7 linked regions of the Oryzias latipes genome follow. The protein of the gene in region 6 interacts with the protein of the main gene of each other region in a pairwise test. Links are inferred from orthologs where the notes say so. Each region holds a gene or a part of one and is shown on either strand. Other genes may lie near its edges.

What was found.
Region 1: the proteins of ewsr1 (region 6) and atpaf2 interact in binary tests that used the Homo sapiens proteins (3 or more experiments, as listed by UniProt). The two-hybrid records come from large-scale screens. The link is inferred for Oryzias latipes from reciprocal best matches to the Homo sapiens genes EWSR1 and ATPAF2.
Region 2: the proteins of ewsr1 (region 6) and prmt1 interact in a two-hybrid assay, tested with the Homo sapiens proteins (2 studies listed by BioGRID and IntAct). The link is inferred for Oryzias latipes from reciprocal best matches to the Homo sapiens genes EWSR1 and PRMT1.
Region 3: the proteins of ewsr1 (region 6) and ataxin-3 interact in binary tests that used the Homo sapiens proteins (3 or more experiments, as listed by UniProt). The link is inferred for Oryzias latipes from reciprocal best matches to the Homo sapiens genes EWSR1 and ATXN3.
Region 4: the proteins of ewsr1 (region 6) and mvk interact in a two-hybrid assay, tested with the Homo sapiens proteins (2 studies listed by BioGRID and IntAct). The two-hybrid records come from large-scale screens. The link is inferred for Oryzias latipes from reciprocal best matches to the Homo sapiens genes EWSR1 and MVK.
Region 5: the proteins of ewsr1 (region 6) and khdrbs2 interact in a two-hybrid assay, tested with the Homo sapiens proteins (2 studies listed by BioGRID and IntAct). The two-hybrid records come from large-scale screens. The link is inferred for Oryzias latipes from reciprocal best matches to the Homo sapiens genes EWSR1 and KHDRBS2.
Region 7: the proteins of ewsr1 (region 6) and fragile X mental retardation syndrome-related protein 1 interact in a two-hybrid assay, tested with the Homo sapiens proteins (2 studies listed by BioGRID and IntAct). The link is inferred for Oryzias latipes from reciprocal best matches to the Homo sapiens genes EWSR1 and FXR2.

Annotation. Positions count from the first base shown.
Region 1 is NC_019877.2:3,256,536-3,260,764, reverse strand, and holds the start of atpaf2 (ATP synthase mitochondrial F1 complex assembly factor 2), read right to left. Parts: upstream 2,937-4,229; 5' UTR 2,693-2,936; coding exon 2,569-2,692; intron 2,483-2,568; coding exon 2,438-2,482; intron 2,341-2,437; coding exon 2,192-2,340; intron 2,111-2,191; coding exon 2,013-2,110; intron 558-2,012; coding exon 477-557; intron 354-476; coding exon 241-353; intron 126-240; coding exon 10-125; intron 1-9. Other genes in the region: gid4 (glucose-induced degradation protein 4 homolog), read left to right, coding at 3,301-3,492, 3,878-3,937. UniProt on the Homo sapiens protein: Plays a role in the assembly of the F1 component of the mitochondrial ATP synthase (ATPase).
Region 2 is NC_019866.2:24,804,218-24,808,390, forward strand, and holds the start of prmt1 (protein arginine N-methyltransferase 1), read right to left. Parts: upstream 2,997-4,173; 5' UTR 2,901-2,996; coding exon 2,874-2,900; intron 1,976-2,873; coding exon 1,880-1,975; intron 1,804-1,879; coding exon 1,648-1,803; intron 1,572-1,647; coding exon 1,508-1,571; intron 1,439-1,507; coding exon 1,296-1,438; intron 221-1,295; coding exon 133-220; intron 58-132; coding exon 1-57. UniProt on the Homo sapiens protein: Arginine methyltransferase that methylates (mono and asymmetric dimethylation) the guanidino nitrogens of arginyl residues present in proteins such as ESR1, histone H2, H3 and H4, FMR1, ILF3, HNRNPA1, HNRNPD, NFATC2IP, SUPT5H, TAF15, EWS, HABP4, SERBP1, RBM15, FOXO1, CHTOP, MAP3K5/ASK1, MICU1 and NPRL2.
Region 3 is NC_019880.2:12,488,983-12,493,406, forward strand, and holds the start of ataxin-3, read right to left. Parts: upstream 3,002-4,424; 5' UTR 2,958-3,001; coding exon 2,913-2,957; intron 2,444-2,912; coding exon 2,279-2,443; intron 2,202-2,278; coding exon 2,157-2,201; intron 2,073-2,156; coding exon 1,987-2,072; intron 1,900-1,986; coding exon 1,833-1,899; intron 1,758-1,832; coding exon 1,670-1,757; intron 1,597-1,669; coding exon 1,467-1,596; intron 1,393-1,466; coding exon 1,235-1,392; intron 1,144-1,234; coding exon 987-1,143; intron 847-986; coding exon 791-846; intron 645-790; coding exon 598-644; 3' UTR 1-597. Other genes in the region: E3 ubiquitin-protein ligase UBR1, read left to right, coding at 3,108-3,152. UniProt on the Homo sapiens protein: Deubiquitinating enzyme involved in protein homeostasis maintenance, transcription, cytoskeleton regulation, myogenesis and degradation of misfolded chaperone substrates.
Region 4 is NC_019867.2:13,196,850-13,199,289, reverse strand, and holds the end of mvk (mevalonate kinase), read left to right. Parts: intron 1-265; coding exon 266-376; intron 377-502; coding exon 503-656; intron 657-1,174; coding exon 1,175-1,326; 3' UTR 1,327-1,758; downstream 1,759-2,440. UniProt on the Homo sapiens protein: Catalyzes the phosphorylation of mevalonate to mevalonate 5-phosphate, a key step in isoprenoid and cholesterol biosynthesis.
Region 5 is NC_019873.2:24,545,784-24,550,208, reverse strand, and holds the start of khdrbs2 (KH domain-containing, RNA-binding, signal transduction-associated protein 2), read left to right. Parts: upstream 1-1,555; 5' UTR 1,556-1,826; coding exon 1,827-1,917; intron 1,918-4,425. UniProt on the Homo sapiens protein: RNA-binding protein that plays a role in the regulation of alternative splicing and influences mRNA splice site selection and exon inclusion. Binds both poly(A) and poly(U) homopolymers. Phosphorylation by PTK6 inhibits its RNA-binding ability.
Region 6 is NC_019867.2:12,693,722-12,698,216, forward strand, and holds the start of ewsr1 (RNA-binding protein EWS), read right to left. Parts: upstream 2,822-4,495; 5' UTR 2,772-2,821; coding exon 2,756-2,771; intron 2,300-2,755; coding exon 2,260-2,299; intron 2,101-2,259; coding exon 2,049-2,100; intron 1,411-2,048; coding exon 1,281-1,410; intron 1,133-1,280; coding exon 931-1,132; intron 784-930; coding exon 527-783; intron 411-526; coding exon 251-410; intron 1-250. UniProt on the Homo sapiens protein: Binds to ssRNA containing the consensus sequence 5'-AGGUAA-3'. Might normally function as a transcriptional repressor. EWS-fusion-proteins (EFPS) may play a role in the tumorigenic process.
Region 7 is NC_019876.2:28,856,914-28,860,632, reverse strand, and holds part of fragile X mental retardation syndrome-related protein 1, read right to left. Parts: intron 2,911-3,719; coding exon 2,858-2,910; intron 2,248-2,857; coding exon 2,154-2,247; intron 1,473-2,153; coding exon 1,401-1,472; intron 319-1,400; coding exon 170-318; intron 65-169; coding exon 1-64. UniProt on the Homo sapiens protein: mRNA-binding protein that acts as a regulator of mRNAs translation and/or stability, and which is required for adult hippocampal neurogenesis. Specifically binds to AU-rich elements (AREs) in the 3'-UTR of target mRNAs.

The sequences.
Region 1 (4,229 bases), on a different chromosome or scaffold from region 6:
TTTTCCCACCTGGTATTCTTCCTCCAGTCTGGAGAGCAGCACCGCCTGCTCCACTGTCAGGTATCGGTCAACCATCCCCAGTGAAAGCAAAATAGACTTCAGCTGCGAGATCACAAACTCAAGTCCTGCAAAGAAACAGACACAATTCTTAAACATTTCAAAAACAATAAATACATCATCTCAGCCTGCACAAGTTGAGATCTATAGATGATCACGTTTTCTGGAGTTGAGATGTCTTACCCGTCAGGGACCAGAGGCTGTAAGAATTGAGATGCTGTCGAAAAGTTTCCTTGGTTGCCTGTGGAATTTCAGGACCCAGAATGCTCGATGAAGATCCAATAGTGACATTGTATCTGCCATGCAATAGTACAGAGAAAATGCATAATAATGTATGGTTTACTGAGACAGTTCCTACATCATTTGGAAGTCTACTGCACAAGATGTGAAGATTAATGCTTTTGTTTTATTTTTTTTACCGGTTTTCAATCCAGTGCAGAACCGGATCCCACTCGTTCTTCTGTAGGTCCACTAAACCAGGAGGATCCTCCACTCTGTAACTGAATCAAAGCATAAATAAATCACTGTTTTGTGACAACAAGGTAACTTAATCTGAAAATGAAACTTAAAAAAAAGAGGCAGCCAAATGGCAGATGCTATAAGAGAGCAGCACAGCCTGCTCCACAGTCAGGTATATGGCAACCATCTCCGGTGAAAACAAAACAGACCTTGCTTTCACTTTACTGGCCAGACAATGATGGTCCTATTAAAGAAATTAGGTCAAAGAAAAAGTTTGTTGCATTCATTTTCACAGTAATTCTTTATTTTTAATGCTTTGGAGTCTGGAATCATCTGACAATGGACCGAGAAAAAAAAGTTTCTCCTGCAAATATCTAGTATATGAAATTCATAGAAGTTCCAAAATTCATTTCTTTTATTTTATTTCCATAAACAAAAATGCTAGTTTTCTGCAATAAGCTAAAAACATCTGCTTTCTTTTACAGTGGCATTACAGTTTAGTGCAAAATGCTACATTAGTCAAATAAAGGGAGATAACTAAAAATACACTGCATAATTATTAATAATAATCACAATAACAAAAGGATCAACACAAAAAAACAGTAAAATAAAATTGTTAATTAGCTAAAGAAATTAAGAAAGTGAACGTTGCTAAATCCTAAGCTAATATGCTAAAGTAAATAGAAAATGTAAAAAGATATATAGTGCCAATAAATGTATTACAAATTCACACCTACACAATAAAGTAGCTAAAACATAATAATTGTAAATAAAAGACTGATGCAAATCTGTTTGCTAAAACTACTAAGGTATCCATAAAACAATTAAGCAGACAAGTGTAAAGAAGTTGAATATTTCAGGACCACAATAAAATGTTTAAATTAAATTCTGAATAAGATAATAAGTTTTTTTTAAATATGTGTAAAAAGTTAAAAAGACAAGGGAAATAAATAAATATGTAATATATAAATTTAAAGAACTAAAGGGATTATCTAATACATAGTTGACAGTTAAACAATATATCTCATTATACAAGTATAATTTATAATAATGAAAAAAAAAGTCTAAATTATATTAATAGGTTCGAACATTTTCAAAAAGCTAAAAAGTAATTGCATTTTGACTATTATTTGCAAAAAAAATTGCAAAAAAAGAGCACAGAATGGCAGATAACGTTTTATTTTTTACAAAGAGAAATAGAAAAAAAAAAAAACATATTAGATGTAGTTGCATCTCACAAGTCCAGGATTTGTTTGGGTACTTTTTATCTAAACAAACCTAATTTTGAATTTTCTATTGTTTTGGTATTTCTGTTAGGTGCTTTTATTTTGAAGTCCTTGTTGCTTTTCTCTCTAGATTAAGAACATTTTTTCTCCATTCAAGTAAAATATTGATTTGAAATACAGGTGTTTTATCTTTTAAACTGAGTAACCGGCATAAATGAGCCAAATAATCATCAACTCTGGACAGAAACAGTATAAAAGCTAAATCCATACCAGATCGTGTCAGTCTCCAAAAACTTCAACGCTGAATTGATCATTTGCTCCTTGTTGCGTTGGGTGGGGTTGTCCAGAGCCGTGTTGCACAAAGTGGTCTGCAAGAAAAGTTCAACCGGCATATGAGTACGGCTGGCTACACACTGTGGTGTAAATAGGTCAGAAAAAATATCCCATACAAGGTGCATGGTATAAAACTTGAGTGTCCCCCTCTGAGCATCCCACTCTGTTGCCACGGCGATAGCCAGGGCTTCATTTGGTACTGTGAACAGCTTCCCTCCTGGAGTTTTGAGTTTCCTTCTATCCAGATTTATTTCATACAAACCATCTATGGACAAAATCGTCACAAAATTAGAGAATATAATCAATCTTGGTCTTCCCTGGAACAATAAATAAAATTATTTTAAATTTTAAATAAGACTCACCATCTCCTTGAGATATGCTGACATCTTGATAAAATCTCTTCCTCTCTGTCAAATAGCAAAACATGTAGCACATGATTAGCACACAGCATATTGATAATTAATAATAGTAATGTCAAAATAAACACGTTTACCTGTAGATGCAGTGGAGTATTTTGACAAACACTTGGAGTACTGATGACTGGGACACGACTTGCAAACTGAAATTACATTTCCAAAGGAATTTCGAAGTTGAAAAACACGTCTAAACATATTCATACCTAAATTTGGACGTATACTGTTTACAATAAAAAAGACGATTCACTAGCGATTTCTTAAGCCGGTCTCTCACGCACTAAAGTACCACATTGAACAAACAGATCTTGAGTGTATAATGAACCTGACTCTACAATAAATCTGTTGTTAAACATTAAGGTTTTCATCTAGCTTACAGTAACACATCGGTTCAAAACCACGCGTGTGACCTTCGATGCTACAAAGCTACAAAATGTTTTCATTGCATGCTTTGGGAAATGTAGTTTATTTTTGGCACTGCTAACGCTTACACATCACTTAAAAACTACATCAAAAATGTTCACGAATACTCTTCCGCCTGCTCAGCCAATGAGCGTCGACGATCTTCGAGGGTGAAGTTGTTGGACCAATGAGATAAGCCGTTGCTACTGGTTACAGCGCAGCTTCGAAGTCCACTTTTAGTTCTGGGGAGCTTGATGCTTCGCAAACTGAACTGTGGCGCAATTAAGAGCAATTTGAATGTTTGAGGACCTCCTCGGGACTTTCTTTCTGGCTGGTCGTACAGGTTGACCGAGTCCCGCTGCCGCACGGCCGTTGACCGCGGTTGGAGTTCAGCCTGCGAAGCTGGAGCTATGCCTGTCCCCGCTGGATATCTCAGCGAGTTCCCGGCCGCGGCCTTTGCATCCTCGGCCTCGCTTATCCCGCTGCCGCCGATAAACACTCACCAGCCCGGTGTTGTCACGTCGCTGCTGTACAGCGGCTCCAAGTTCAGAGGCCACCAGAAAAGCAAAGGGAACTCCTACGACGTTGAGGTGGTCTTACAGGTGGGGGGCACCGAGGCGGAAATGTTGCTTTTCGTACTGCGAGCGCGAGGCTTTCGGGTGATGTGTCAAAGTGGCGGCTGGAAGAGTGACAGCTGAAAAAAAAAGGGGGTCCCGGCCTGTCCTGGACCAACTGTGGGTGTAGTGGTGGGAGTAGCAGAGCAACTGCGCCCAAACAACACCGACTAACAACAACCAGCTGCACAATTTTCTACCAGTTTAAATTAACACAAACTATCACAACTAGCTTAAATGTTGCAACATTAGGGGCTGTTGACATTTTTTGAGAAACTGCAGCTTCTGACCGTCAAGTTTTGTTTTTGTTATTTTTTTTAACATAAATTCAGTGGAGATTTGACCTAAAAGTTCTGTTTATTATTTGTTACAGCATGTCACAATGGAGGATTCCTACTTGTGTGGCTATTTGAAAATAAAAGGACTCACAGAGGTCAGTTCTGTTCATATTTAGAGGATTCATGTTGGAATATGTACATGTGGATGAACTGGACTTAGAATTTTAAATGTTTTTGCAAGTTTTTCCTCCACCTTTTGTGTAATTTTTCTTGCAATGACTAAATATTAGTCCAACTGATCGTGAGCCAAATAATTCTACATAGTTTTTTGTTTTGTTCTGCCTCTGAAGTGCAGATATTTTTAATTAAGGGATCGATTTGCTTAGAATATTTTTAAACGTCTTAATTTTCTATTAATGATTTATACATAGCGATAACCTAGCCTTA
Region 2 (4,173 bases), on a different chromosome or scaffold from region 6:
CCTTAATGGCCACCTCCTTGATACAGGACATGTCGAAGCCGTACACGTTCTCCCACCCTGAAACAGACCGCGCAAACGTGACTCCCCCACCGAGACGGAGCCAGCCCCGCCCCGGTCATGTGACCTACTCACAGTGGATTTTGTAGTCCTTGTACTGCCGGTCTTCAATGGCCGTGACGTATAGAGTAGCTCTGTCAGGGAAAATGAGTCCGTCCGGCTTCTGTGAGGGAGGGGGACATGAGTGTTAGGAACACACTCAGGGGTTACATTTAAACATCTTCAATGAACCGATCATGACTGTGTTCACAGCAGAAGCTCCTTTCTAGAGCCACCAGGAGGATCTTTGAGGGATTCCCAGAATTCCAGCCGCCAACCTTTGCCGTCAGCTCAGCTTTGGTAGAAACTTTTATCATTGAAATGTCGTACTTTTGTTAAGACCATTGACTGTTTCAGAGAACTGGACTGAGTAACCCCTCCCTTCTGGCATTCCAAACAGGAAGTGACTCCAAGAAGCCAATGTCCCATAGACGTCTATAGAGAAACAGACAGCTGTTCGTCCTGTGTTCTATTGGTCAGAAGAACCGTTCTGGATCTGATGCCTTTTCCTAACAATCTATTGATAATTTAAATATTTTTTCTGTAGTTCAAACAATAAACTGACCAATCAGAAGCCTCAAAAGTAGGTTGTGTTAGAAACGTTTGACAGATTTTCGTGTAGCCCACTTTAAGTGGTAGGGGTGTGGCCTTCCAACATGCTCTCTTCTGATTGGTTGTCATAGAAACAACTTAGACCAATCATTGCTCACTGACATTGTCTGGCTTCAACATGGCAGCGTAAAAAATTTAATTTTGAACTTTTCTATCGTTTGACGTAATTCTAGGCCTGCACAAAAAAAAAAATCAAAAAACAATCAACATGGCCATATCAACTTGAGCAATCCCGCATTGCAAAGAGGGCGTAAACGTTGACACATATGCACAGTCAGACAAATGTTTAAAACACACCCAACCACAAATTATCTAGTCTGTTCTTGACCGGGTAGATGGGGGCATTTACCCGCTTACCCATCTCCTATTGACAGAACTGGCAGTACAGTTTGTTGACTTATTTTAAAAAATCTCATTATTATATCAATTATATTGTTGTTGTTGTTTGTCTGTTGCAATATTGGTGGCTAATTTTCTTCATGCCATGCAGCTCCATGTCCCGCTCCCTCAGTCCAGGTCTCACATACAGTCAGTGGTTACAGTTACTAGTTTGGAGGAAGCGCTGACGTCCAGAAGGAGACACCCACCAGCCACTTGTCGCGGGCGTAGATGACTGTGTTGAGCATGGACTCGTAGAACAGACAGTAGCCCATCCACTCCGATATGATGATGTCGACCTTGTCCACCGGCAGCTCCACCTCCTCCACCTTCCCCTTGATGATGGTCACAACTAGAGACAGAAGAGGTCAGGACCTTCCCTCCACATTCAGCGGTCAACACCGGACGGCGGTGGACTCACCGTCATCCATGTTGTTGGCCTTCACTATTTTGACGGCGTAGTCAGAAATGCTGCTGCATTCTATCTGTAACGGCAGAAGCACACGGATGAGACAAGGCGCCGCAACCGGGCGCCGCCAAGCCGAGTCCACGCCTTCCTACCCCGATGACTTTCTTGGCTCCGGCTTTAGCCGCGAACATGCAGAGGATGCCCGTCCCGCTGCCCACATCCAGCACCACCTTGTCCTTGAACAGGTGCTTGTTGTAGAACATGGAGTTGCGGTAGGTCAGGGTCCGGACCTCGTCCTTCAGCATCTCCTGCAGGAACAGAGCAGAGGGCGATTGAGGACGCGGGCACCGGGGGCCGCAGGTTTAACGGGACACGAAGGCGTACCTCGTGGATCCCAAAGTGGGCGTAGGAGTCGAAGTAGTAGTCCTTGGATGTCATGTCTTCAGCTGCAGGCTTGGCTGAGCTCTCTCCCTGAGAAACCTCAAAGGAGGAAAAACCCCATGAATGTCTGCAGATCAAAGGAGTCACGTGATCTGGAACCGCCGAGGAGCCGGTCCGGTTCCAGGCAACACAGAAGACAGAGAAACAACCGATCCGTTAACGCTGCCTCAGAGGAACAAAGGACGTGGACCCGATGCCCCATGAGACCACCGGAAGTTAGAGTTATCCTACCCCCCACCCCCACCCGGTAACGTCGGTTCGGTCGTAACAAAGCCACACGTGACGACCAACTTCCAGAACAAGGTTCTGTTGTTGGACCAGCTCAGAGACCGGGACACTCAAGAGGACGGCAGAACCGGTACCGAAGATTCTAGTCTAGTCCGGGATGAAACAGTGGGACTACCCGCTCGCCGGTTTTCCACTCCAGGCTCGACAGAAAAGCTAGTTCAGGTTTCCGGTAAACCGGCACCGCGCGGGTGGAGTGACCCACGTGGAGCTCCGTAGTGGATCACGTTGATCGAGAGTTTTAACGTAAACTCTGGCAGACTAACGTCCGGCGGATCCGAGCTCAGCATCAGCGTGTTAGCACGAGCTGCTAATTAGCCCGGCAGCTAGCACGTTAGTCTCCATGCGGTCCGAAGGCTCTGCCGGTTCCACCGCCAGCTGCGTGCCTGCCGCCCCCCCACCGTCGCTTCAGCGTCGAACCGAAAATACACACCAGACCCCACCGTAAACAAAAGCCAGTTTGAAGAGTTTAACCGTTTCCCCTGTTTTTCTCGTAAATGCGACACTGTGATGAATGAGCGGCGGCAGCATCCGGAAACTCCAGCGCTAACACCCCCTCTACACCGGCGAAGCGCCGCTCCGGAGCCTGCGGGAAAACTCGCGGACGTTTCCTCGAACACAAATGAGCGTTTTTCCCGCTCAAAGACCTCACCTCCATCCTCTCTGCTGGCGCCGCCATTTCGATCTACAGCGAAGAGTCCGTTTCTTCTTCTACTCCGTCCTTCCTTCTCTTCCTCCGTACATTTAATCTGAATCTGCGTTGAAGGCCTACACCGCCACCTACTGTACAGACGGTGGAAATACCGCTTTACCCGTGAGACATTTTTTCTGCATTTTGCCCCTTTTACCACCATCTGGGGCAGGAATCACTAACCTTCCTGAGGGTGAGGGCTATTTTATGGGCTCCACAGGACCTGTTCACTATACATTTACCAACGTTTTCCCAAAATAAACTATAAAAAAATGCTACAAACACTTTAAAAAGACAATTTATGAATCCACTGGGTAATGATAATGAAACTGCTGGTTTATAAAAAAAATGAAATAAAAATATTTTAACAAAATGTGTTAAAATATTAAAAACTGTTAAATAAAGTCTATCTATCTATCTATCTATCTATCTATCTATCTATCTATCTATCTATCTATCTATCTGTCTGTCTGTCTGTCTGTCTGTCTGTCTGTCTGTCTGTCTGTCTGTCTGTCTGTCTGTCTGTCTCTCTGTCTGTCTGTCTGTCTGTCTGTCTGTCTGTCTATCTATCTTTCTTTCTATCTTTCTATCTATCTATCCATGCTCACTGGTTTTTCGTAGAGACTTCTGGGATATTTCTAGGGCCCTGGATTTTGAAATGTAGATTTGTAGACGCACTATATAGTGAAGGGATTTGGACTCAACGATTTTCTCACTTTCACACAATTTGGCAAAAGAAAACTTTTGTTTAAGCAATTACAGTTTTTTTCAGTCGCTTTAGTACAATTGTCAGATCAGAATGAAATTCCCAAAACTATTTGTTCAATCTTCACATCATGATGTCACTTGTGCACATCATATAAGCAGTTTCTCACTTCTTTGAACAAGTTGCAATTGCTTTGGTACATCCATGCAAATGATTATGTACAATTCTCTGCTCTTTGCTACATTATCAATTGTTTATGTCATGTTGATCAAAATGTATTATATAGTTCACTGTGCAATAGTCTTACTCCTCAAAACTCCTAGTCATTAGTTCATCGTATAAGTCATTAACTGCAAAATGGTTGACCAAGTTGTCATAATGTGACAATCATATTTCGCTGCATTGCAAGAGAGGATATTCGCTGTGATGTGGATGAGAATTTGTGGCCTAACATACAGGAACGACAAGAGGTGTAGGAAGACCACACCAATTCCTACTGCACTGCCTGGACTGTTGGACAGAATATTGTCCTATCTTTTTTCCCCTTTGTGTTAC
Region 3 (4,424 bases), on a different chromosome or scaffold from region 6:
ATCCAGTAAAGTTTTAAAGAAATAAAAAAATGACTGATGGTCATCAGAAAAACAAATGGTAACTCTGGTTGGGCTAGGTTTTCCGTTCCACGTGTGTTCCACAAACCCATGTATACGGCGGGACACCCTGTTATCCACAAAGATATAACGAATGATTAAAACATTGGTCTCTTATGGCTTTCATTCATTCATCTTGTTAGAATCCAACTTCATAAAAGTTAACCCATTTTTCATTCATTTTCTCTTTATGTTTTCAAAAAAAATTAAGACAACAAAAACCAGAATGTAAAGAAATAGAAGGCTCTATGGTAAAATAAAAAAAGGCCATTGAAAACTTGGAATAACTACATTATGAGTCATTTTTAAGTCCAGCGATCACCCTTTTCCCCCATCTCTGTACCACACTGAGGTCTGATTTGACCAAGTGCTGCCTTTCCCTTGCCCATCAGCAAACCCAGCGAAGGAAACCATGTGTCGGCCTTCTGGCTGCAGTATGTTTGCGTTTGCAAAAGGTTAGAGAATGGAGAGAAGCCAACCCCTGTACAGGGTTTCAAGTTCAGAGCGTTGGTAGACAAAAGCAGCAAAGCTTTCACAACTTTATTTGGTGTCTTTTTCTTGTTGGTCCTCCATAGAGTTGGATTTTTCTGGTGTTAGGGGCAAAAAATGGATACTTGGGTTATTGTTCTGACATGAAAATAATATCTACATTTTCATTCTGATATGCAAAAAACTGTATATAATGGGTGTTATACATATAGGGTGTTTTGAATTTTAAATAGAGTTTACTCACCAGAGTCACTGGTTGCATGACTTTCTAACTGTCGTGGAATGCTTGGTTGTGCTTGCCTGAAAGATAATACGAAAGTCTGGTTCATAAGGCACATTTCTCCTTTCTGCTCACTAAAAAAAGACCTTTGAACATGTGTACACATATTACTGAAAGTTTTTTTTTTTGTTAAATTCAAGTTTTACAGATCAAATCCTACCGATCAAAATAAGCTTGTCTCCTCTTCCTCAGCTCCTCAGCAGTAAGTGTCTCATTCTGGCCTGGTTTATCTCCACATGTAGAACTCTGTACAGTCCGTTTTTCGGATTTCACATTTCCCACATCAGACTCTGAAGATTTGTTACTCATGCCTGATCCTAGTTAAAGGAAAAACGTCAAAAAAAGGGTTAAAAAATTCCAATATAATAAAATATTTTCAAATCAGCCTGGAGCTTTGAAATGGCACACCTTGCATGCTGAGCTGAATGGCCCTGCGAAGGTCAGCTTCTTCATCTTCCACATCCATTTCCTGTCTGCTGAGTGCCAGAGCTCTCTTTAGTTCTTCATCGTCATCCACAGCCTCATCTGATACAACGTCCATTTGCCCCCGAGCAACGGATCTGCTTCTAAAAACAGACATGTATTATGTCCAAACAAGACCTAATGTAATCCAAGCGAGGACCATTTTCCACAAACCTACCCTGAACTTGTCTGAGCCTCATCCTCTCCAATTAGCCTGGGCCGTTGCTGTTGTTGAACCCGCATTATTCCGAGAATCTGCTCTGCTTCACATTCGGGAAGATTCCCTTGGATCACAAATATGGAATATCCTGCAGAAATACATTATTTTTGTATTTGTGTACCAAAAGGTGCAATAGTGTAAACAAGTCGGCTTTACAATACCTTCTTGTTGTAGCTGTGCCAGGAAAAGAGCTAAATATGTGTCTGATATCAGCTCTGGTCCAGTCAAGAGTGAATTCAAGTTAAACCACTGTAATAATAATTAAATAAGTAAATTAAGCATCAACACACGTATTGAAAAGTAAAAAAATAAAAATCGACATACCTGTTGTCCAAGCTTGCGTATGGTGAACCAATGCTCCTTATAATTGCAAATGAAGGCCTTCTCGTTTCTTAAAGGCAAAGACATCAAGTCAGGATTTAAATGTGGGTGTGGGATCGACTTGCTATACAAGGAAGTCTTGAAAATACAACTTTACATTGGATTTATCATCAAGCTCTGGTACTCCCGGCTATTGAAGAGAATTAACTCCAATCCCCACACTCGGAGAGCATTGCTAATTACCTATAAAAATCAGTCATAAGGAGTGATAAGACAATCTTGTAAAGTTGATTGCTAATGATCATATGACAAAGCACATAAACATACTTGTATTGAAAAGAATCCGCTGTCGTCCATGTTTCCAGATGGCTGCTATAAAGTTATTATTAAAACAGTTGTTTAAATACATGTACCACTGCAGAAAACATCTGTTACCTGTCCCCACTTACCTGTAAGAAGGTCCTGTACTCTTCACTACCCATACCTCCTTCTGCCATTCTCATTCTCTCCTCTTCGTCAAGCTGATGAGCAATTGAGGACAGGTCTACAGGGGTAAAATACTCCCCCTGCAAAAGGTTGTTGAGGCAGTGCTGGGCACATAAGGAACCCTCTTGCTGAAAACAAAGAATAACTGCGTAAACGTATTGAGAAAAAAAAAGGTCTCCACTTTTTCAAAATGGAGTGCAAAAACTTACAAAACCTTGGAGATAGATTATACAAAAAGCTAAAGCAACTACAAAAAAATAAATAAAAAATAAATAATGTTTCAAACATCTAAACAACGAGCAACATACAACTTTAGTATCCTTTTTCTTTAATAATTATTGGTGGAGTCGAAGTGTACAATAAATACCGCAAACTCGTTTTCTAACTTCATTCTATTAGCTTTTAAAGAAACTTAACAACACCTGGTTAGCAAGTGAGTTAGCATTAGCAGTCTGAATAAAGCCAAAATAACATTAGATTGAAGCTAGCACCGGCTAAACACAAACTCTAAATAAATGCTAAGTGTCTTTACTCTCTCCGACTACACACGAGTAAAGGCGTTCAGTTTAATGTCACAAGTAAATTGTTTAAACCTACTTTTTCATGAAATATGGAATCCATGTTTAGATTTCTGTCAAACATTCAACTTTGACCCCTACTCCTGTAAAGATGGGAACCAATCTCTATTAGCGCCCTCTATGGATCATTTTGGAGTACAACCTCGCTCCGTTCCAACAACCGAAAGGATATTGGTCACACAGGAAACCCCCCTCCTTTTTCGGCAAATGAAATATGGCAGAGAGTAAGAAACACCTTGACGGACTGGAGCTCAGTAAGGTATGGCGTTGCAAATTAAAAACTGACAGTTATTACCGAGATTCGGATATTTGACACGTACGCGTGGGGTTATAAAATGCTACACAGAAAACGGGCTCAACGCGCAGTGACGGTCCTAAAGCTAGCAGGCAGAAGCTGGAAACGGCTAACCGCTTTACTAGCTTAGAGATGCTACAAAACAGGTTTATTTTTCGGTATTGTTTAGCATCAGCGATTTGAATCTTCGTCAGAAACGCGATCTGTTTGCAGATGTGTAGGTCAATCTGATATTTTAGTACTTAGTTTTGTCCAAAACCCCGTTTTACGAGTTTTAAACACTGAGCATCAGTCCTGTTTTTTTGAAGAATTTAGTGAAAAAAAGTTGTATCTTTCGAAAAATGAATGTGAAACTGAACATTTATTACGAACCATAATTTTATCGTTTAAATTTTCACAATGATCCTGCCAACTATTTACATCCCGATTTGTTGAGCTAATCTTCCTTCACACTAACTTATCATTGGACTTTTATTATAAAGTTTATTATATCCTAAAAGGAAAGCAGATTTGGAGAATTCAGTAACAATGTTCTAGCTTTTCTATATACACATGATCATATGTTGTCTGTAGTTCAAGGCACTAAAGACTAGAAAGTAGGGGTGTAACGTTAAATTTTAACCATGATTTGATTCATATCATTATATTTTTTAGTTGCTGATATGATTCATAGGTGATATTGGTTCATTTTGAACGATACGATTTATAGACTGAAAATCGATTCAGGACATTTTAGCCAAAAAATCAACCAGTGTGTGACTCGGTGATAAATACCTGGGTACTGTAGAGCAGGTGAAGGATTCTCCTGCAAGAATGTGTAAATTAAATAAATAATAAAGTGTGAATTAAATATGTGTACAAGCAAACAAGTGAACAGGGATTAATGGCAAATCCATTGACATTTTAGTTTCCTAAAGTTCAGCCCACAACAAAATAATCTAAACAGAACATTATTAGAACATTCTACCACACTTTATGGTCACATGTCTTTGTAAAAAGTGTTTCCACACATTGGACTGTAATTATGGATTGATCCTTTTTTGCAGCCATCACATGTGTGTTGTCCTCTGTGATGACACCGATTCATATTTATGTTGTTGTGAAATAAACTTACCGTGCCTCAATCCAGATGGTATTCACTAATATCAGCTCTAATCGATTCATTTTGAAACAATTTTATAATAGTAAAGGTCGATGCAATTATCAATTTGCCTCGGACAGATTGATCTGGTTGGA
Region 4 (2,440 bases), about 500 kb from region 6:
GTCGAGTCCCCCCATAAAATATTAAAATGAAACTCTTAGCCAGCATCCTTCTGTGCGGTTTCCTTGGTGACACCAGCAGGTGTTCAGAGGTTTGCCTCAGACTGAAAGGGCCCTGCATGGTGTTGTGGCAATGCTGAGGACAATCCACAGGGGAATTTTGTAATCCGTGCACAACCTGTCCCTCAACAATTCCTGCTTCATCACACATTCCTAATGGAGTTTAAGCTAGACATATTAAATGGGTTTGTGTTTTTTTTTTTTCCAGTTTCCCTCAATAATGAATCCTGTTCTTGACTCAGTTGATGCCATTTCTTACACTTGTGAAAAAGTCCTGACGTGCGAACCGATCACAGGAGAGCACTACAGTATTCTAGAGGTACAGATTATCTGTTTAAAAAAAAGTACTTATATGCACAAAGTATAAGCTGTTACTTCCAAGAATCTTAAACTTTGAGCGCATATGTTCAGGAGGCTTCATTTTCAGCTGTCTTTACCTTTTCAGGAGCTGATTGATATCAACCAGCACCATCTAAATGTTATGGGTGTTGGGCATCCGGCTCTGGACACTGTGTGCCGGGTCACATTGGCCAAAGGGCTCCACAGCAAGCTAACAGGCGCAGGGGGTGGAGGCTGTGGCATCACGCTGCTGAGACCAGGTGCTATACGCTGCTGTTAAATCTGTACTTGTGAAATAAAAAGGGGGAAAAAATTTCATTTAAAAAAAAAAAACTTTTCCAAAATCTCTGTCACAAATTTTATATTTAAAATAGTTTTTGAAGTGATGTCGTTCAGTTCTTGTTTGTTTTCTACTGGAATAATTTTATATTAACGAGTAGAAGGAGGATATGAATAATTTTTTTTTGTCTGAAGCAGCTCTTGGATTATTTGAAGCTAAAGCATCTCAATGGGATGTTTCTTTGTTGTGCAGCTGTGACCCTAATGTTGATCTGGCACTGGGCTTTCCTCAGCTGTGGAACAATAACAGATGGGAGATATTACAGGAATTTTGCCAATTAAAGACTTTTTGATGTTTCTGGATATATAACCTACTTTTTATCTTTTTTGGACAAAAAACCTGAATAATGCTTTACTGCACAAAACCATTTTTAATAATTATATTCCTTGTTGCCCTTTTTAAAATTGTTTGTTTTGTTTCTTTTCTTTGTTTTTGCAGAAACCGACTCTTCAGTGGTCCAGAACACCATGCAGGATCTCAAAGACTGCGGCTTCGACTGCTGGGAAACGAGTATTGGTGGACCAGGTGTTCAACAGCATTCCCCTTCCTCTGTGAAGGAGGAAATTCTGGAAATTTTAGAGCAGTACTGAGCTCACTAAGGAGATTTGCTACAGGGAGTAGCAAAACATTGGTTTACTAAGGGGAGATTTAAGCTTTAAATGTTGTCTGACATGAAGAAAAAGTATCTTTTCCATGGCTAATTTTTTTTAAACTAACATGAATCAAAAACTTGCTGCAACATTTCAATGCTATACCTACTGTTATGAAGCACTTTGTCCACTAGGTGGCAGTATAGGAGCACAGATGCTGTTTAACGGTTTACAGGTAGAGAAGGAAGATTCAGTGTTAAATTCTTCCTCAATTTGGATGTAAACTTTTAAAAGACAAAGGTGATATTAAAGTTTTATCCATGACATAAATCCTTGAAAATATTTGTATGTCATTCTGATTTTAACTGAAGTATAGTTATTTAGTTTTACACCTTTAAAAATAATTAAACTGTAATATTTCAGTTATGTTAAGTATTTTCTCGTCATTTTTTGCTGTTGTGTGTGCTAATAGAACAGGGAGGACAGCATAAGTGGGCAGCGTCTCTGAAGACTCAGGATTAGCGCCTCTCTAATATGAACAAACAGCATCTAGTGTCCGGTTGGGTCGCTCATTGCACACACTGTAGCTTCCCAAAATTACCCTCCACTTATTGCCTCTTTTTTTTTTCTTTTAAGTATAGCAACATATTCTGCAAATGCCACAGACACACATGACAGGCCTGTTTATAAAATCCCCCATATGGGGAAAAGGTCACGTGGGATTCCGTCGGGTTTGAATATCCATTTCATTTTCTATTTTTTAAATGTCATGAAGATTGAAGAGTCCGAATCCGACCACACATGTGAGTCAGCTGCATTTGTCACCTCCTTCTTTATGTGAGGGCAGCTGCCCCCCACCCCCTACCCGCTCTCAGCATGCTGCACTGTTGCCCCCAACCCTCGCTGGAATTTAATTAGCACTGTGCGTTTCAATTGAAACAGTATTGATGAGGGTGGATGGATGTGGGGTGGAGGACGAGTGCAAGCCCTGTGAGGCACATGTGATATTTTTTTTTATCTCAAGATCAGTGCCTTCTTTCTCCCCCTCTGATAAAAAGATTTGGAAGGTGGGGTGATATTTTATGAAAAAAAGAAAAGGGGATGACCACAGGGG
Region 5 (4,425 bases), on a different chromosome or scaffold from region 6:
GATTAGTTCACAGAGAAGCAACTGTAAAGGTCAAGTATAGCTAGTGTTGATGGTTCTATAGCCTCATCTGATAAAATGCATTTTAGGAGGAAGGAAAGCAGCCGGCACGCTGTGCAGGAAATGGCTTTTAGATTCGAGTTAATATCAATAATGTTGGAGAGCAAGGAAACATTTTAGATGAGACACAAATATTATTACATCTCTTCCCAGAAATGCTCGAAAGTCCCTTTGTGCAAGTCCAAGTGAGGTCTGAGGTCTATAGTCTATATTTCTATATATAAGTCTATATCTATATACAGCTTGTGCATTTCCAGTTCAAAATCATTTAAAGAAAGCTTTGATTTTTACACCTGACTGAGAGATTATGTTGCCAAAAAAAGAATAAACAAATAAACTTTGCTATCAGGACCCAAACCTTAGGTCTCAATTCAAGGCTCAAGTCTCTTCATGAAACACAAATGCGACTCAAGTCCTCTCGTATTTTTTAAACATGTCACAGTGTTTGCTTGATTTTTGCTTAGTTTTTTGAGATGATGTATAATAGTAAGAAGAAGCTGAAAATTGCCTTATCCAAAATGCAGCATCATAACAGACAATTGATTCTTTGATAACTTTGTCTGTTTTTTCCCCCCTTTATTTTAGTACTCTTGCCTCACAGCAAGAAGGGTCAAGTCCCGGCTGGGGGACCTGAAACAGAATCACAAATGGAGGACCATTCTGTGAGAAGTTTGCAAGCTATCCCCATGCATGCCTGGGTTTTCTCCAGGGACTCCGGCTTCCTCCCACTGTCAAAAAACATGCTTCATAGGTCTAAATTGTCCTTAAGTGTGAATGCAAGTGTGCATGGGTGTGTGAATGTGCGTCAGACTGGCGACCTGTCGAGGGTGAACCCTGCCTTCGCCCAATAGTGGCCAGGATAGGCTCGAGCAGCCCTTGATACTGAAATGGATAAAACTGGATTAGAAGACAGATGAAAAGATGGATGTTTATTTATTTATTTGAAGTGAAAATCTGCAGTGAAACAAAATGTCAACAAGGAAGAACAATAGAAGATAAATCAATTAAATAAAGAAACTCTTCCTATCTCCGAGAACTTTGAACTCTGGAAGGCAAAACCTAATGAGAAAAAACGAGCTTCTGTGAGTCTCAAATCAGATCAGCACCATGGACAGCGACACAAACAGAGCCGCGGCTCTGCGGATCACCCTGATGTGGATTATTGACACCAGCGGACAGTCTGGCTTGTCTGGACACAGCCGAGTGTTGTAAGAGGTTAGTTGTTGCGTGACATTAATTAAACTGCAAGTTTTCACTTTAATCTTAAATAATCGAATTGACAAGTTCATTTTGGATGCACTCACTCTGTATTTGTTACTTGGTTCATTTATTTCAGATTAAAACCACATTTTCCTCTTGGACGTGCTGAACTCTCAGGCTGGTGGTGCTAATAAGACGAACTTGTGTGTTGCATTACCCTCAGTAGGGAACTCCTCAGCTTTTCATCAGCACTGATTCTTCAACGTGGCCAATCGTGTGAAAGGGGCGGGGACGCGCGCAGCGATGCCCGGGAGTCTGGCGGGTTGCCGACAAGAGGCAGCTGCAGCCGGGATGGGCTCACACCTCTGAGTCACTGCTCAGCCTCTGGTCAGGTATTTTGGACGTTTTGAGGTGTGTGGTTTTTTTCTGGGCGTTTCCCCTCTGTTGTTATTCAATAAAAGCAACTGCAGCCACTGTTAGGCAAGAGGGGAAGAAGGTACAGCTGCACTCCGACGTTCAGCACTCCAGTGATCACACACCTGCTCCGCTGCTGAAGAGCTGTGATCAGAATGCATCCAGATAAGTGTTTACCTGAACTGGTGGCAGAGAAAAACAGCCTGGATCCCTCTTTTGTGCACGCGGTGCGTTTACTGGCAGAAGGTAAGTCAGGTTTTTCTTTCTTTCTTTTTGTCTACAATCTGCTGCATACGCTGCAGATTGCTGGGCACCAGTCCCCGTTCTGTTAGTCTCAAAGCATCTTCAATTCAGTCCAGTACAGAGAGGTTTGTGGAGATTTTGACACATATTTCTTTGTCCTTTTGTGCTTCTTGGAGTAATTGCCCTCAACTGCACTTTTTTAGCTTCAGTCCAGAACTCGACAGATTTTCTGAGCAAAGAAAGTTGAGGTTAAAAGGAGAAAAATGCATGACTGAAGTTGAGAAAAAAAGCCAGCATGTTCAGTGAAAGAGCTTCTAGGTGCTGCAGGCAAAAGTGCAACACTTTAGCAGAGTGACGGGATGGATCAAGCTCTCAGTGAAAACATAGTGGCTGCTTTTCTTGTAAGAATCGTTTGCAAATATTTTTTAGATGCACGTTTACAATAGAAAGAAATAAAACGTTCAAATATACAAGATAAATCATGTTCAATCACAATATACAAGCCTTTTTTATATGTTTGAATTGCTGTTTCTTATGTTGTTTTTTTTTATTTATTCGTATAGAATTTTGTTGTTGTATTGATTCGTTGCAGTCCATGTCTCTTTTTTAGACTATTTTTTCATGGTTTTGGTGTAAAGACAACTGTTTTTCTTATAAACCTTTCTTTAAAAGTTCATAAAATAATACGCCAACACACACAATTACTGCAGGGTATCTCTTTAATTGTTAATTTTGGATGTATGTGAACTAACAAAAGTGCACCAGAAAGAACTGCAGATTATTCAACTGAATATCTGCTGTCTGTATTTTTTAGAAAAATGTACAGCAGAATACAATAATGTTCCGCCAAAGATCCTCATTGTGCATGTGTTCATTTATATTCAAAGAATATAATACTTCAAGAGGAAGCACACTAGCCCAAAGCACGCACAGATACTAATTTGAAAGTTAGTAACTTTGGCATTTCTGGAATGGACATGAAGCTTCCAATAATCAAAGTCCACACAAAGCGTTGGGATAAAGAAATGTGACACAAATATAATTACATTTTGCTAGAAAAAAAACATTGCAGAAACTAAATACACTTTTTTCCTGTACTTTACCATATATTTTGTTGAATTGATCATGTGATTTTACTAGGCAGATTAGTTTAGTTTACATTTCTTAATCAAGAAAAGCAGACAAGTTTTACCATTTTGTTTATGTATTTATGGAAGAACTGTGCTGTGTTCATATTCTAACGGTTCTGAGGGTTGCTGTGCTCTGATTTTCCAGCCCCTTAAGCACTACTGTTGAAATGTGTTGATGAAACACCTCACAGTATGGCCTTTGCCACTTGCTGGGGTGTAGATCATCTGTTACACAGAATACTTTTTCAGTCAGTGTTGACTCACACAGCCAAAATTCCAATAAAATATGTGCAAACTAAAATGCCCCCTTTTTTCTTCTTTGAGTTTTTCATTAGCACACTTGAATGTCACTTAGCCCTAATTAACATCACATTCCAGTGTGGATATTCAATAGTTGCTGAGAAAATTTGCAGCATTTCCCTGATAAAGTTAGAGAATCTCGTTTCAAGATCACCTCTGAAACTTCAACTTTTCACATCATCCACAACAGATACCAATCAGAGCAGTCAATCATGTTTCCCACATCAGCACAGAGCATATAGAAAGAAACAGGCAGCACAAGAAAGCTCTTTCTGTGATCCACTGTCACAGAGCTCTCCCATCCATCTTTGCAGCGTAAAAATGCAGCATCATGCTTATTGGTGGACAACAAGATAAAATGCATTCACTTGTTATAGATTCAGGGGCGATTTATCATTGAGCAGAATACAATGCCATCCTTCATTATTCACATTATACACAATAAACCACAAAATATGGATTTACAACAGTCTTGGTTAACGTCTCCCAATTTATTTAGTGTTACTGCAGTAAACTATCCTGATGTGAAAACCTTTTGTTTAAATTAAATGTCCAGAATGACATTTTCATTTTTATCTTTCTTTTTCTGCAAATCTCAAGGTTCCTGCATCATTTTGATCTATCAGGAAGAAGTCAAACATTGGGAATTTTCCAAAACCTTTTTCAAGATAACATTGTCTGTAAGTTCCTTTCGGTTTGTTGGTGCTAATCCCCCCCTATTCCCACCAACACTATTTCCTTCAGGGAAACAAACTCAGTTACTGTCAGTATGGTGTGAGCCTAATGGCTGCAGAGACCGACAGAACAGGCAGCTGTTGGGTGTGCTTTTAGTTTCCTTTGAATAAAGAACACAGTGGGTCTTTTTAATAGTGGGTGGAAGACAGAAACAAGAAAGGCAAGCTCTTAATAGATCCCAGAGGTTTTCTTGGTAAGACTCGACAACGTGCTAGGTATAAAAGCCAAAGGGATTCCTAATGAGAAGACAGGGAGGCAGAAAGAAAGGATGTGATGGACAAAAAAGGGAAGCTCTGGCTGCTGAAGAATTTGTATCTGTGTTACATCGCAATATGCCTTTTTTTCT
Region 6 (4,495 bases):
TATGTTGCTACCGAATCGAGATAGCAACATATCCAACAAGCAGGATACAGCTCTCTGAAACTGAGATTCAACACCCCGGTACTCAAACAAAAGTCAATTTCAGTAACAGCGTACAAATAACTCAATGCTGCATTGTATCTACAAGAAAGTTAATTGCAAATGTCTGAAATGACTTGTCTCAGCCCTGCCTCAAATGGTTACAGCACCTGCAGAGGCAAAACAATGGAAGACACTAAGGAAGCACACTTACCCCATTCCACGCCCCATGCCTCCGCGACCACGATGCATCATGCCACCACGGTCAAAGCCGTCCCTGCCAGGACCTCTGCTGTCCCCTGGGCCTGAGTACCTTCCGGGCTCAGAGCCAGGATAACCAGAACTTCCACCCTGACCATCCTGCCTGTAGCTACCTATGAAGGAACAACACAAACATCAGATCACACCATGTAGGGTGAGCACAGAGCCAAACCAAATTGTTCTTTAGCTCCATTTTATATATGGAGTTAAAGCACAACATAAAACGTACTGTAATGGCTGGACTGGTTGTAACTAGGTGGTCCACCTTGTGTGTTGTACTGACTGGCTGGAGGCTGACCATAAGAACCAGCAGTTTGAGGAGGGTAGGCAGGTGGAGCTTGTTGTTGAGTTGTCTGCTGCTGGTAACCCTGCTGCTGGTTGTAACCTGCTTGTTGACCCTGGTAACCAGCCTGCTGTTGTCCATATGACGCAGGTTGTGAGTAGCTGCTCTGGCTGTAACTAGCTGGTTGATTGCTAGCATTGTAACTATAGAGACAAAATAAATAAGGGGTCTGTTTTGATCATGATCACAGAGACATTACATCATCCTTATGAGTCGTGTATTATAACTTCAAGTCAACTGAAGAATTTACATGGTGTGATTATTTTTTCTTCCTAAGGAGGCACATTTACCTCTGCGGTGCAGCTGGAGCTGCCTGTTGACCATAACCAGTGTAGGCGGACTGGGCGGTGTAGCCTGGCTGGGAGCCATACGACTGGGATGCGGCTGGAGCGGTAGCTGCAGCTGGAGTACTATCATACCCGCTGGCTCCATAGCCTTGAGTTGACTGCGAATAGCCATGAGCTGTAGACTGAGCAGCGGGATAGCCTGCAGCTGGGGAGAAATAAGTTTCATGCTAAATGCAGGCACCAGTTTGAAGCAAACTTTAAAAGCAGAAGCAAATATCATGTATTCATTTAGACTGTTATCAATCCATCAGTCTTAATAAATCCAAATGGGATCACTGATGAGAAAAACCTACCTGATGCTTGTTGTCCATAGGAGGAGCTATACTGCTGTTGCTGCTGAGGGTATCCTGCAGCTGCAGGGGTCGCCTGGGTGTAGCTGCTGTCTGCAGCAGCTGCAGCAGGCTGGGTGTATGATCCATAATTCTGTTGACCATAACTTTGCTGTTAGAACAGAGCCTACTTTAGCTGCTAGGCAAGCACATGCAACCAGGAACTACCTACATTTATAAATATAAATTATATGAATATCACATAAAATAAATTAAACTTAATTAAAGTCTTTGCGTTTGATATGCATTCATTTAAAAAAGAGATGTTGGATTTTGGCCACAGGATAATTTCAATATGCCGTCTCCTGGGAGGTAAATGTTACTGAAGAAACAAAAACTGATTTTAAGAAGAACCTACACGTTGAAAATTGAATATAAAACAGAGGTAAAAGAAAACACAAAATATAAACAGTATAAATCTTAACTTTATATATTTTTCTAAATCAATGTCTAGTCATAAAATGTTCTGGTTACTGTCATTTGTGATTAAAAATTGGAGGGACTAAACCACGAAGGACCTTAGAAAAACCGATTTGAAAGATTCAAAACCTAGAATTTTATATTTGTTAAGAATGTGACTGATGATGGCAGGAACGGTGATTCTTGTCCAGCAGTTTTATTGCTCTTTTATAGCAAGATTCAACGGGTTTAAGAACAGAGGAGCCAGCATATGACCAAATAGTGATACAGTAGTTTTCACACATCATCAAACTGCTGTTTTACAAATCTCACCTGTGCTGTTTGTCCATAACTCTGTGATGGCTGGGTGCCATAAGAGGCATACCTGCAAAAGAAATATCCAAAAAAGACTTCCAAAGCTGTTCTGTAATTTGACATGGGTATCAACCAATTTAACTTTATTTCCTGGCTGTTGTTGACTGAAGAGCTTCTAATTTAATAATTCTTTTTAATTTTTATTGGTATAAAACAAAGTAATGCTTACCCTGGTTGAGCACTGGCCTGACTGTAGGAACTGTAATCTGCTTATAAACAAAAGATAAAAAAAATACTTTAAATTAAAATGCGACGAAACATCGACGTTTCGTTTGCGCGCCATTAAGCTAGCACGTTACGGGCCAATTGAGTCACAATTCAATGCTAATGCTATGCCTGTTAGCTAAAGATAAGGACACACTACATGAACAATGTTCAATGAATGATTGAGTTCTTTAAGCATGAGGATGTACGATAAATATAAAAATTATCAAAAAACAAGGTTACAGACTGAAAACGGCAAAAATGGTTGAAGCTCACGAAACAACAAGGCCTACCACAAAGCCGCTTGCACCGTCCACGCCACGGCACATTTTTAAACAATCCACATAAACGCTAAATACTACAAAATACCCACATGCAAAACCATTAAATAACAAATACAGATTAATTCCAAAGAATAATAAATGTAAATATCGTGACTTTGGTAAAAATTTTGCGTTTACCGGGAGCTGACGCCATTTTAGCTTGCCTGTGAAAGACCGAATGGACGCTGCACTCTGGGTAAAAAGAAAAAAACGTTTGTCTCCCATTTGAAAACCAGTGTATTCTCGCGAGACTTGAAGACGACCCATAATTTTAATAGAATTTTAAATAAAGTTTAATACTCACGTCATTATTGGCAATTGCTTTTTAATTCATAGCATCTGTAATCTTTTTGTAATACATGTACCATCCCCTGACATTGTTGTTGTTATGACTATTGTTCCTGTCATACATACTTGTTCTATTTGTGTTGAATAATAAAGTTTATTAAAAAAAAAGTATTGTAATGAAAGTTGAGTTCAGCTGTTAAGCGGTCTGTACTTTTTTGCATCAAACAGGCTTGCTATGCCTTTAATTAATAGTCTACTCTATAGTTTTAAAATTAGGCAGATCATCTGTCAGACCACACAGTTTAAGCACTATAAATCTTATTTATTTATCCATTACAACATCAGAATTTATTCATATCATTATATGGAAAATATTATTATTAAATATTTTTTTTAAAAACTCCACACGTGAGCCAGTTTACCACAGTGGGATCTTCATATTTTGTTTCTTTTATTTTAAATACAATTTCATGTCTTCTCAAAAAACACTACTATGTGACAAAACTTTGTTGTTGTTGTTGTTATATAACAAACAATCACGGCATGTTTGTCAATGACAACAATATCAATGCTGAGATAAAGGTAGACAAAAAACAAATATGAAAACAAATGTAACTTAAAAAATAATAATAAATAAAAATAAGGGGCTTTTGCAAAAGTTTAAATAAATCAATGAATTATACAATGTCAATTCTATGATTCATGTAATGTAAAGATTTAAAGAATAATTTGAGACGGTTTAGTAATCCATTAATGTGAGGTTTCACCTTTAAGGATTTACAAGTATGTATAATATGCTTCGAAATTACAACCAGTATATAAATCAGAAAGTCCAGATTTTAAAGGGTTAATGATGATATTTATTGATTTGAGCCAAATATGAAAAAAAGAAGACCAAAACTCTTTTACATGCAAACATTCAAAGAAAAAATGTTCCACCGTTTCTACATCCTTTCCACAAAAGACACAAAGATCACCATCCCAGTTAAAGCGAGAATGTAAAAAAATGATTGGAAGAGTATATATCATTTAATATTTTAAAGTTCACATCTTTTGTTTTGTGAGGGATAGGATATGATAGATATAATGTTCATATCCTTTTAGCTTCTGTGGTGCTGTAATTCTTCAAAATATATTTTCTTTTAAACGTGAAGGGTAATATGAATTATTTAAAATCTCTCGAAAAAATTTGTTTGTTAATTTTTTGTCTCCCAATCATAGGCCTTCCACATAGAGTTGCAGCATTATTTGTTGAGCTATAGTTTTAGTGGGGACTGGAATAAAAACTAATAAAAGATGTGTGCACATCCTGCTTGAGCATTGCATCCGGTAGGTGGCGGTAAAGGGAATTTCTAACATTGTAACCAACAAAATCTAAAAAAGTAGAAGAAGATTTGCGGAAGTTGAAATTACCACAATTTTATTTTCAGTTTACCTTTTAAAAAAGGGAAACAATATATGGATTAACTGCTCAGGGATGTTTAGTTTGTCACGAATAGCCTCGTCAATATTTTGATTGACTCAAAGTGAATTATTCTTACTGTGTTACTGTTAGTGTTTTTTTTATGATGATGGACTTTATTTTTCCAG
Region 7 (3,719 bases), on a different chromosome or scaffold from region 6:
GTAGAAGATGCAGTTTGCTCCGATGGCTTTCCTGAAGTCTTTGTGAACGTTGTCGTTTGCACAGCTGTCAAAAAGGAAAACCCCGCTTTGATGCAGACATCATTTATGAAAACAGAGGCAGAATGGTTCCACGCTGAGGGAGGAACGCTCATGCAGCGAGCAGACTCACATGTCCCTCAGGTCTTCTGGGACGGCGATGGGGACTTTGTAAAAAGTGTTTCTAGAGGAAGGGGTGTTGGGGTTCAGCGGTCTGATCCGCTCCGATGTGACGATCTCGTTGTATGTGGCGTCGCACGCCGCATATTCGATTACGTAGAACTGGAAGCAGCAGAGAGAGAAGCTAAAACACCCTTTGCTCATACATTGCAAAGGTAAACCCCTTTTGAACAGCGGCACAGCTGGATGACTGAAATTCTCTGTATTTTGGACGCCGCCAGTCGTCCTCGCGTCTCCAACATGTTTGAAATGCAGCTTCTGGTTGGAGGACCTAAGTGAGATCACGTCACGCCGATTTCAGCGTCGCTCTTGTTAGCTGGCTGCGCATTTTAGGGTTCCTTCTGAGATTTGTTTTTTAAATCTTTACAGGGTCTGTACCTCTCAGAGCTTCCCTCTCCTTACTCGCCGGCCCGGTGCCTCAGATCAGCTGATCAGCTGCTTCTAGAGGTACCGAGGTGCAGACGGAAGCTCAGAGGGGACACAGCTTTTGCTGCCGCTGCTCATAAACTCCATCACCGTCCATTTTCAAAACCCGTTTGAAAACTCATATAGTGTCATTGTTTTTATCTTTCTATATTTAATCTTGTGGTTGATGTGTTTTTCTTTTATTTCTTGTGTTCACCACTTTGTGTCGGCTGCTTTTGTATGAAAGTGCTATTTAAATAAAGTTGAGTTTGAGGTCGTAAAGAAAAAAATATATAAATATCCAGGTATTTAACAGCTGGGCATCGATCAAAAATAAAAGCTGAGACAGACGCAGCGTGACCGCTCCCCCACAGCTCCAGGCTCAAAGAGCTGAATTAAAGTCATCCGTCAACGCTGGACATTCCTGCAGGCTCTTATCACTCTGCTCCAAATAACAGCAGCAGACCTGCAGCAGCTCTCCAGGCTCCGTATCAGCGCAGATCTGCCCTTTCCAGAACTCCGCCTCCCATCCTCAACCTGCAGCTCAGACGGCCGACTAACTCCCAGTTAAAGCTGCATAAGCAGCAGAACTCCACACAGACGTTGGTGTGGAGTTCCTTCATCCAAACCTCCGGCGGGTTCATCTCCTTCAGCCTAAAAGCTTCCGCCACGCCGGATCTTCCAGCCACGGTGTTGGAATTAACTCAACAGAAACAGACCCTAAAGCCACAGGAGACGCCGGGAATGAGGTTTCCTCGTCACGACGGGCAGAAACTCACCTCGCCCTTCATCATTCTGACCCGCGCCAGCCACCAGCCGCATGGCTCCTGTTCGTTGGCCCTGGAGTACACCTGCCGGGAAAAAACAAGCCGTCACCCACCGGATCAAAAAAAAACTATTCTGACTGAAAAGGGTTTTTTTAACATGGTTTTCTCACGATGACGGACATAGAGTCAATTTAAATTGCATTTCTTTTTTCAAATCACTGTGAATCAGGAGCAGACAAAAAAAGAAGAAAGCTGAACGGGTCACAAGCAGTTTCTGCAGAAATGTCCCAGGAAACCTCAGCTTTTTGGATTTTAGTCATGTTGGAAAGAAGGCTCTGAAAATAGATGGAAAGATGATTGGAGTGGGACTTTATCAGAGATGAAGGTGTCAGAGCTGAACGAGGAGAAACACTCGTGATCGGTGATCGATACGGCCATGACTTCCAATCCATCAACAGATAGCAAAACAGCCCATCATTTCCATTTGACTGCAAGTGTTTTCTGTAAATAAACCTTTAAATAATAATATCACGTGTACATAGGAGGAGGATTTAATTGATTCAACTCTTCATGATGCCAACAGATGGTTTTGGCGTGCAGGTAAACAACATTTAAGCCAACCGTTCACGCCGTGTTGTGCGATAGGCGTATTGCACAGGCTGATAAAAAGGCGTGGATTCAGAAAGCAGAGATCACACGCCAAGACGCTGGCCGGTCTTGATGATGTGATGCTGAGGAGAATCAAAGGAGCGCAGCAGTTCTTACCTCCACCTCATCACCCTCCCCGATTTCCTTGTGGTAGTCGGCTGGGGGGGGCAACCGCACGTCGCTGAAGGGCAACTGTCTCTCTGGCTGCCAGCTGTGGCGGGACGACACAAAGCAGAGTCAGCCCCCCGCCAACAACAGAGAAGGTTGGTGGTCCCGGTTTTACCGCACCGGGTCACCAGATCTGGTGATGCTGCGGGTTTCCCATCGGCGAATGCTGCTCTTTTTATTGGACCTTTTACAACTACGAGGCCGGAAACACTTATTTTGTCATTTTATTCACATCTTATAAACAGAAATAGAATTTAAAGATTAAACGTTCTTTTTAAATCCGTATGTCTGTCAAAACAAATGCATCTTTCTTGCACTTTGCTGTAAAAGCGGCACCTCCACATGCCCTAAAGAGTAAAAAGAGAAGCCCCCCCCCACCTCGCATACTTCTGATCCCTATTTTTAGGAGGCGCCCGCTGCACGCCCTGCGCCACGCTAAGTGAGGCTAAGTGCGGCAGCAGAGGTGTGGTTAATAGAAAAGGACAGTGGAAGGGGCGAGGAGTCGCCACCGTTCCTGTGTAGGAGGGACGGTTAAAAAACGGGCAGGCGTGTACGGGCAGCTTGCTGATGGGGGTTCCTGAGGCCCAGCGTCCACTTCCAACCATCATTTAAGCAAACATCAAACCCACGGGGTCATAGAGACAAAAACTCACTTGTTTTCAAAAACGATTGTGAGGGAGTCTTCATGGACGTCTTTGATAAAACCCTGAAAGAAAAGAGAAAAAGTGCCGATGAGAGAGAGTGACGGACTTCATTTCCCAGCAGCCCTTTAGAGCGGGCTGCAGCATTGGAGCAGCGGCTGTAAAAAGGAGCATCACATCTCCGACGCCGTTCTCTGGCTGCGGGTTCAGCGCTGAGCAGTGTGAGGAGAAACCGTCTGCCACACAAACTGCGTTCAAGTGCTCGCTCTCTGGCTGTAAACCGGCGGGAAAGGCTTCCAAACCACGCCGCTCAAGAGGACAGCGGCAAGGCGAAGCTTTCATGAGCAGACGCCCCTCAGCCCGGCAAAAGCTGCCCTTTAGGAACCAGACGGGTCAGGCGGCTGGAAATGCTGGGCCGGGTTCAGCGAAGGGCTCAGCTCAGGAAAAACACCTGCACAGAAAGCTGAACGTGACACTGTAACTGCGTGCACGTTGGATGAGCTGGGCGTGGCGCCTGATCCACATCTGGTTTGTCACACGTGTGGCTTCTTACACCTCGAGTCATCACAGTTTAGCTGCAGATTTCACCAAAGGCCTCGCTGTCATGCATGAACCGCGTCTGCAGGAGTGACTGAAAAGGCGTGGATGTGTCGGAGTGGAGGACCGACAGATTCCCAAACACAAGTGGAGGCCCATTCAATCAGAACAGGGTCTGACTGTGGACCCAAAGGGCTGCAAGAGTCCCAGACCAATTAAATAAGAATGGAAAAAGGGGTTGATTTAACTATCCAGAGTCAAATGTAGTTATTTTTGTCAATTTTATAGAAAATCTACAAAAAAACAACTAAATACAACAACAATGGCTGAAGGTTCT